Rattus norvegicus: one gene and its partner. The protein of the gene in region 1 interacts with the protein of each later gene in a pairwise test. Links are inferred from orthologs where the notes say so. Each region holds a gene or a part of one and is shown on either strand. Other genes may lie near its edges.

Region 1 (3,512 bases):
ACTCTTCTATACTAACTGCATTCTCATGAAGCAAGCTTTAATTATAATTAGGGTCTATACATAGTTATCCAAAGGAAGAGAATATATATCTCAGCAAATATGTACTTGATATTTTAACAATCATAAATTAACACATCGGATCTGTGGGTTTTCAAATAAATCATCTCTAATGGATTTAGGGGTTTGGGGTTTTTTGTTTGTTTGTTTGTTTGGTTGGTTGGTTGGTTGGTTGGTTGGTTGGTTTTTGTGGTAGCTACCAAGGTTTCACCGTCTCTAGCTAGATGAAAACAATTTCTGAATGTATTTAACAGAAAATAATACAGACAAAATAACAGCTGTATAGAGTCACCCTGAGAAGACTTATCTAAACTATCAGGTGATCCCAGGTCTTACTGGGTGTGACTGCAGTCAAATTATAATGTGGCACTTGTGGTAACTGGTTCTGGTTCAGGAAGTAGCATCAAGTAGTCAGCACGTACCAGGCAATACTCTACTATTATGTCCGTACTAGAAAAAAGGTTCAAAGGCTTACTCTATGGTCATTTCCTTAGTTAGGCTTTCCATTGCTGTGAAGAGATGTCATGACCAAAGCAACTCTTATAAAAGACAACATGTACTTGGGGGTGGTCCACAGTTTCAGAGATTCAGTCTGTTACCATCCCAGCAGGAAGCATGGCATGCAGGCAGACATGGTGCTAGAAAAGGAACTGAAAGTTCTACATCTTAATTTGAAGGAAGCCAGAAAGAGTCTCTCTCTTCTGTATTGGAACTGAGCATAGGCCTTCAAAGCCCTCCCTCACAGTGACACATTTCCTCCAATAAGGCCACACCTAGTCTAACAAGGACACACCTTCTAATAGTGTCACTCCCTGTGGGCCAAGCATTCAAATACATGAATTGTGGTCAAACTTATTTAAACCACTACAGCCATTTTCTCAATTCTACTCTTTCCAAAAGCAACTATCTTTAAATCAATATTGAAATTATGTTCTTTCTTTAATATATATTTCTCCTTAATATATAATATTATATAATTTATAATTTATATAATTTTTGTGTGATACAATTAATTTTCAGAAGTGCTGTCAAACATTGTCTATAATACTATAAGAGATCAAATCTTACCTTCAAGGGACTTGTGTTACCCTGCGTTGACAAGGTCTTTGGTGTTTGGGGAAGCTTGCTCTCCTGTGTGGGTTGCTGATCCAGGCAACAAGAAACTGGATTTGAATAGTCCTCACTGTCCTGAAGGGTGCAGCATTCCAGTTCCTCCAATAAGGCATCTATGTCACAGGAAACAAGAGGAGTATAATGTAGAATCTGTGAGTCTTCAGGATTATTTTCTTCTTAAATATTCTCTTCTTGTTTTGAATTAAAAAAATTTACAAATACCTTTTTCCATCCTTATCTCCCTTCAGGAGTGTGGCATATCCCAGAAAATGTCTGAGATTTACTATGGTTGCATTCAATTTCATAGTCTCTTTACAATAATTTCTGACAGTCTAGGTATTGATTTTAACCAAATAGGGCAGATCTCTCTCTCTCTCTCTCTCTCTCTCTCTCTCTCTCTCTCTCTCTATATCTCTATATCTCTATCTCTTTCTGTGTGTGTATATGTGTGTGTGTTGTGCACTTGCATATATATTTCTTATTAGAAAAAGAGAAACAACTGGATTACAGTTTTTCAAAATATACCAACAATATACCAGGCAAAACATTTTTTTATCCTGATTTTTTAGTTTATCTCAAGGGTTAGCCCAAGATCATAATACAATAAATTGTTAAGTATTTTGGTGTTTTGTTGTTGGTTTATATTTCTTGGATGTGGAGAAGAAAAGAAGGTTGAAAAAAAAGAAACTAATGTATTATGCAATCAAGCAATATGTAGCAATCCAAATTACTCGGACTTCTTTTGCAGTTTTCTTGGTAAAAAGCCAACAGACTTCAGAAGAATTTCACTAATACCTTTCTGTTGCAATGTCAATAATCATAACGATTACAAATTAACCATGCCAATCATAGTATATGATGAATACAGTTTGCATTTAATTATCTTGACAGGTTGAAGTAGAGGACATTTCTGTTCTCATTTTATATAAAGGAGAGAGACAGTGCAGCTCTCACAGGCTGGTGAACACAGAATCAGATCTCCAATGAGTGCTATCTTATTCCAGTCTCAACACTGTCAACTTGTACACTGAAGTTGCCAGTATCACCAGATTGTCTGACTCATCTTAAGCACAGCATGTTCTCTGAAGGTCTTTCTTCATCTATATAATGAAGCAATTGAATGGAAGAATTTTTTTTTTCAAATTGCCAATCAAGATACTTGTGTCTTTTTTTTGTTTTTGAACTTCAGAAGACTTTTAAAATATATGTTATACTTTGTATAAGCTTGCAAAGTATCAGATTATATGATGTCTAAGGACCCGCCTATCTCTGAAGTTCTCAAATAAAGAAAATGAACTTTAAATGTCATTGAAAAACTTGCTCATGTATTTCATATTTGGAGAGAATGGAGTTTTGCTCTGTCTAGTTTTTAAGAGAGGCTGCTGTAGATCAAACCTAGAATTTACCAAGTAGCACAAGATGGCCTAAAACTCAATGGTCCTTCTGCTTCCACCTTCTGACTGTTGGGGTTTTATGGGTGTGACATCATGTACAGCTCAAAAACTGTCTTCTCCCCACTGTCTTCCTTCTTAACAATGCTGAACCCAGGAACTTGCATATACGAAGTAATGTATGTCGTGCCACTAAGCCACACCCCCAGATTAAGGATGACTATTTCTCAGTATTTTAGGGGAAGATCTAATTGTTTTGTTTTCACAAAAGAAATCTTCTGTAGAACTTGCTCAATCACAAAAGTTTGACCTTCATATACCATTTTAGAAATAACCAACCTGAATCAATCTCTTTAGGCTAAACTGCCCTTCAAGAAATAAACAGACAAGAAAAAAAAAAGACAGAAGGGGAGAAGGGACACATGTATATTAAGAGAGAACTAAGAGATATATAATTTTAATTTAGATCATTAACTTAAATTTAAAAAATAAACAGTCAAGAACACTGATAGTATATGTTGGAGATTTATGTTAACTTGTGGTCAAAAATTTACAGGCAAGTGAAAAATAAGTCCTGTTGCAAATTCAGAATTCAGTATTCAGCATGAGTTTCATAAGCATTAAGAAGATGATAAGTTAAAATTTTTAAAGGATATTTAACATTGTATAGTTAACAATATTAAATGCTAACATCTTAGAAATTTGAAAATATTGACATTAAAGTGATGTCAGTTAATCTTAGGTATGATAATGTTATTTCATGATATTGAGGAACCACTATTAAGGTTATCAGCTTCTGTTAGTATGGTTGTTTGTTATAGATTAAGACTGAATTACATACAGATAAGAAATATAACAATTGAGATTCCTTAAAAACAATGAATGGATGGAAAAAACAGAAGTATGTGAAGTAAGAATGTCAAGAGCTAATGATTATTGAAGCTGATCCAA
Region 2 (4,170 bases), on another chromosome or scaffold:
AGGATAGCAGTCAACTTATTGGGAGGGTGGAATCCAAGTTGTCTGATATTTCCTTTCAATCACACTGCCACCTTCTGAATTCTTCCATCGACCCCAAAGAGATCGCCCTCTTCCATCCCTCCGTTGCTTTTTTTCCGTTCCAAAAACAGCCTACAATTTTATTTAATGAAAGACACATTTATGAACAATCAAATGATCCTCATAAAATTTTTATTGAAGGACGTAAAAACAAGCTACTTGCCCACGACCGAGGTCGCTCTCTCGATTTGCCCGTTCTCACCCTGGCTCTCTGCAGACAGAACCTCCGAGTGACTTCTTTGGGGGGGGGGGGGTGTTGTAGAAATGGACCTGGGCGCAAAGGAGGATGAGCAGGCAGCTGGGCTGGGGATGCCCCACTTAAGTTGTGTAGCTCTCTCCTCCACTTCTTCAGGCTGGCAAAGAAACAGAGACAATAAATTTTAAATAAAGGCTTGTATGTCTGTGCTAAAGCAAGAGGAGACTTGTGGGGCTGATGATAAAGGTGTGTGAGCTTCCCAAGCGTTACTCCTCCCACTCCACAGACCACCTTTCCCAAGCTTCCCATACCCTAGATTTGGGAAACTGAGCTGGCCAGGGGCAGAAGAACTCTCCCCTTTCCTTCCTTCCCTCCCTCCATCCCAGCTTGTTCAGTCCCCTCCCACCCACCCTCCCTCGCTGCTAGTGCTGCTGTTCCTGAAAGAAATACATACATACACAGTATTTAAAAACGCATTTTTAAAAGCCACGTTCCGAACTGACAATCGCTGATCTCCGTTCACTCAGAGACTGCAGGAGCGTCGGAGCCGACAGAGACAGATTACGTCAAGAAATAGTTCCTCCACCTACCTCGTCCGGCCTCCCCGCCCCTGTGGGGCTCCCCGAGCCCATCTCAGCTCTGGGGGTCCAGGAACCCTGGCTTCTGGGACTGGCATTTTCGTCTTGTTTTTTTTTTTTTTTAAATCCTCATGGTAGGGGGAGCCATCTGCTTTTGGCTGCACATGGTCAAGGGAGGGGGGGGGTCCCTGATGAGATATGATTCGTCCGGGGAGGGGGGGCCTGTCTGGCGCCTTGGGTCCAGAGTTGCAAATCGCTAGGAAAACGCAGGTCGCGGGGATCAGCAGAGAGAAGGGGGTGGTAAAGGGGGGAAAAAAGCAAGGGGGAAAAAAAGCCCCTGCGCATTGATCCGCGCCGTATTTTTGGGTAAATACGATCACGTGGGGGCTGGGGAACCAATGAGCTGCCGGGAAAAGGCTGGAAAAATAATTACCTGCCTTGATTGTTCTGTGAGCAGATAAAAAGTACATATACAGTTCATACAATAATCTTATGTATGTAAAACCCTGTTACGATGTCGGCGACGGGGCCCATCAGTAACTATTACGTGGACTCGCTCATCTCTCACGACAATGAAGACCTCCTAGCGTCCAGGTTTCCGGCCACCGGGGCTCACCCTGCCGCCGCCAGACCCAGCGGCTTGGTGCCGGACTGTAGCGATTTTCCGTCCTGTAGCTTCGCGCCCAAGCCGGCTGTATTCAGCACGTCGTGGGCGCCCGTGCCCTCGCAGTCGTCCGTGGTCTATCACCCTTACGGCCCCCAGCCCCACCTCGGCGCCGACACGCGCTACATGCGGACTTGGCTCGAGCCGCTGTCCGGCGCCGTCTCCTTCCCCAGCTTCCCAGCCGGGGGCCGTCACTACGCCCTCAAGCCCGACGCCTACCCCGGGCGCCGCGCCGACTGCGGCCCGGGCGACGGCCGCAGCTACCCGGACTACATGTACGGCTCTCCCGGGGAACTGCGCGACCGCGCCCCGCAGACGCTGCCCTCGCCCGAGGCGGACGCGCTGGCCGGCAGCAAGCACAAAGAGGAGAAGGCCGACCTGGACCCTAGTAAGTTGGGAGCAATTTTCCTTTACAACCGGCTCGGGAGGGGAGGGGAGGCCAGGCGGGGACAGCTAGATTACAGCCCCTCCGAGCGGCGCGGGCAGTGCGGGAAAGGAGCGAGGGCGAGGGGGTGAGGACTCAATAAAAGCGAATTACCTTGGGGAGCTCTCATGAGGAGAAAGGTCTGAGAAAAGGGCCCAGGCAGCCAGGTTGGGTGAGGGCCAGCCAGAGGGGCTTCTTTCCCAGAGGCTGGCTTTGAGGGAAAACTCCTGAGTCCCCCTCTTAGCTCTTTTTTTTTTTTTTTTTTTTTTTTGGCTCAGTGATCACTTGTGTGTGTGTGTGTGTGTGTGTGTGTGTGTGGGTTTGGGGGGGAGTTGCTGCAAACAGGGACAGGGGCTGGGCTGAAGGGCTAAAATTCATTTTGTGGCTTGAGAAAGGACAGAGCAGAGGTGAGGAAGATAGTTGGAGCAAAGGGAGAGATATTATCCCTACCTCTCACAGCCAGAGTGGGGAATCTTCATCCCACTAGGGGTTTTTAAAGCAGAAGGTCCATTGACTTCTCCCCCAGGAGAAGAATCTGGGGGTGAACAGCCTAGGAACTTAGGTTAGGACTTCCAGATATAAGTGGAGGAGAAGTAAGGTCCGAGTTTCCTTAAACTTGAAAACCCACTTTTAAGTGTCCACAGGAGAGAAAGAGTTGTGAATGGGGATCAGGAACGTATAAGGAGGAAAAAAATCTTCAGATTAAAGAAACACACACACACACACACACACACACACACACACACAGAGAGAGAGAGAGAGAGAGAGAGAGAGAGAGAGACCCCCTTCAGAGAGACAGGAGTATTCTGGGTGTTGCATAGAAGAGGGGTGCTGACTAGAGTAGGTAAAGAGGTGGGGGGCAGGTGGAAGCTGCAGGGTCAAAGAAGGGAGAGAGAAAGAAGGAGAAACAGCAGGGGAGGGGTGCAGTCCCCTGGATGAGAGGAAGTGTCTGGGGGGGGATCCCCAGGAGGAGACTTCAGGAAATCTTTTCCTCTAGCTCTATAAGGGGCCAGGGCCTAATTACACCCCTCTGAAGGCTTCCCTCCCTGCTCTCAGCTACTCTCATAAACCTGAAATTGGAGGGTTGTCTCCTGCAGAGCTGTCCTGGGGCTGGCTGGAGGAGTGGGGCACTGGAGTCCAACATAGGAGGGAGCCTTTCTCCAAGGCCAGCAGTTCTGTGAGGAGAGGGGAAGGTTTTCCTCATCCTGATAACTTCACCCTGATAATTCGCCTCAGCAGGGTTGAATTCTGAGCGGGGAGATGGGTACTGGAAAGAAGTGAGGGTTTAGGGACTCTCAGGACTTGGTCATGGGCTGTGAGGATGGGAGGGGGCAGAGGAGGAGGGAGGTGGGGAGGAGAAGGACCTTGCTATAAAAATAAAAAACAAGAGAGAGAAGCGTTTATGGGCCTATGAAATGGTTGGGAATTTGGACTTTTTATGAGGATATTCTCGAATTACTACTCTTGAAGCTGAGGACCAGGCTGTGGGGGCTTTGATAGCTTAAATTTTACTACAGTTTTAGGTGCTGGAAACTGAACAGGGAGGGGACATGGGGAGGGGGCTGGATGCAAGAGAAAGGAGGAAATGCCTACAGCAAAATGTGTCCAAATTCAGGTTCAATTATTGAGTTTGGGGAGGTTGACTAAACCTAGAGGTGGGATGACAGAGGTCCTGAGCTGGAAGAGAACTCTACTGACCCTTGCCTGTGTTTGGCCCTCCAGGCAACCCCGTGGCCAACTGGATCCATGCCCGTTCCACAAGGAAGAAGCGCTGCCCCTACACCAAGTACCAGACGCTGGAACTGGAGAAGGAGTTTCTCTTCAATATGTATTTAACTAGGGACCGTCGGTACGAGGTGGCCCGTGTTCTCAATCTCACTGAGCGGCAGGTCAAAATCTGGTTTCAGAACCGGAGGATGAAAATGAAAAAGATGAATAAAGAAAAAACCGACAAAGAACAATCCTAAACCCTGCCCCAGCCTGCTGCCTCGGCACAGCCAAGGGAAACACAAAAACCCCACCAAAAAATGCCCCAACTCAGGCGGGAGAAAGCACGAAAAGAAAAGGAAAGAACAAGATAGAGAAAAGCCCAACGTCTTAAAAAGAAAAAAAAAAAAAGGAAGGGGAAAATGCAAACTCTTTCGATGTTGGGAGGGTTAAGTGTTGAGAAATTGGTGTTTAGAGTTAGTTCTATCCATCGAGGAGGAGGCAGGAGAGAAACTGCGTTCTC

The links. The genes of interacting proteins can lie anywhere in the genome.
Region 2: the proteins of Lpxn (region 1) and Hoxc9 interact in binary tests that used the Homo sapiens proteins (3 or more experiments, as listed by UniProt). The two-hybrid records come from large-scale screens. The link is inferred for Rattus norvegicus from reciprocal best matches to the Homo sapiens genes LPXN and HOXC9.

What each region holds. Positions count from the first base shown.
Region 1 is NC_086019.1:219,358,661-219,362,172, reverse strand, and holds part of Lpxn (leupaxin), read right to left. Parts: intron 1,284-3,512; coding exon 1,126-1,283; intron 1-1,125. UniProt on the Homo sapiens protein: Transcriptional coactivator for androgen receptor (AR) and serum response factor (SRF). Contributes to the regulation of cell adhesion, spreading and cell migration and acts as a negative regulator in integrin-mediated cell adhesion events.
Region 2 is NC_086025.1:135,995,926-136,000,095, forward strand, and holds Hoxc9 (homeobox protein Hox-C9), read left to right. Parts: upstream 1-1,366; coding exon 1,367-1,904; intron 1,905-3,662; coding exon 3,663-3,907; 3' UTR 3,908-4,044; downstream 4,045-4,170. UniProt on the Homo sapiens protein: Sequence-specific transcription factor which is part of a developmental regulatory system that provides cells with specific positional identities on the anterior-posterior axis.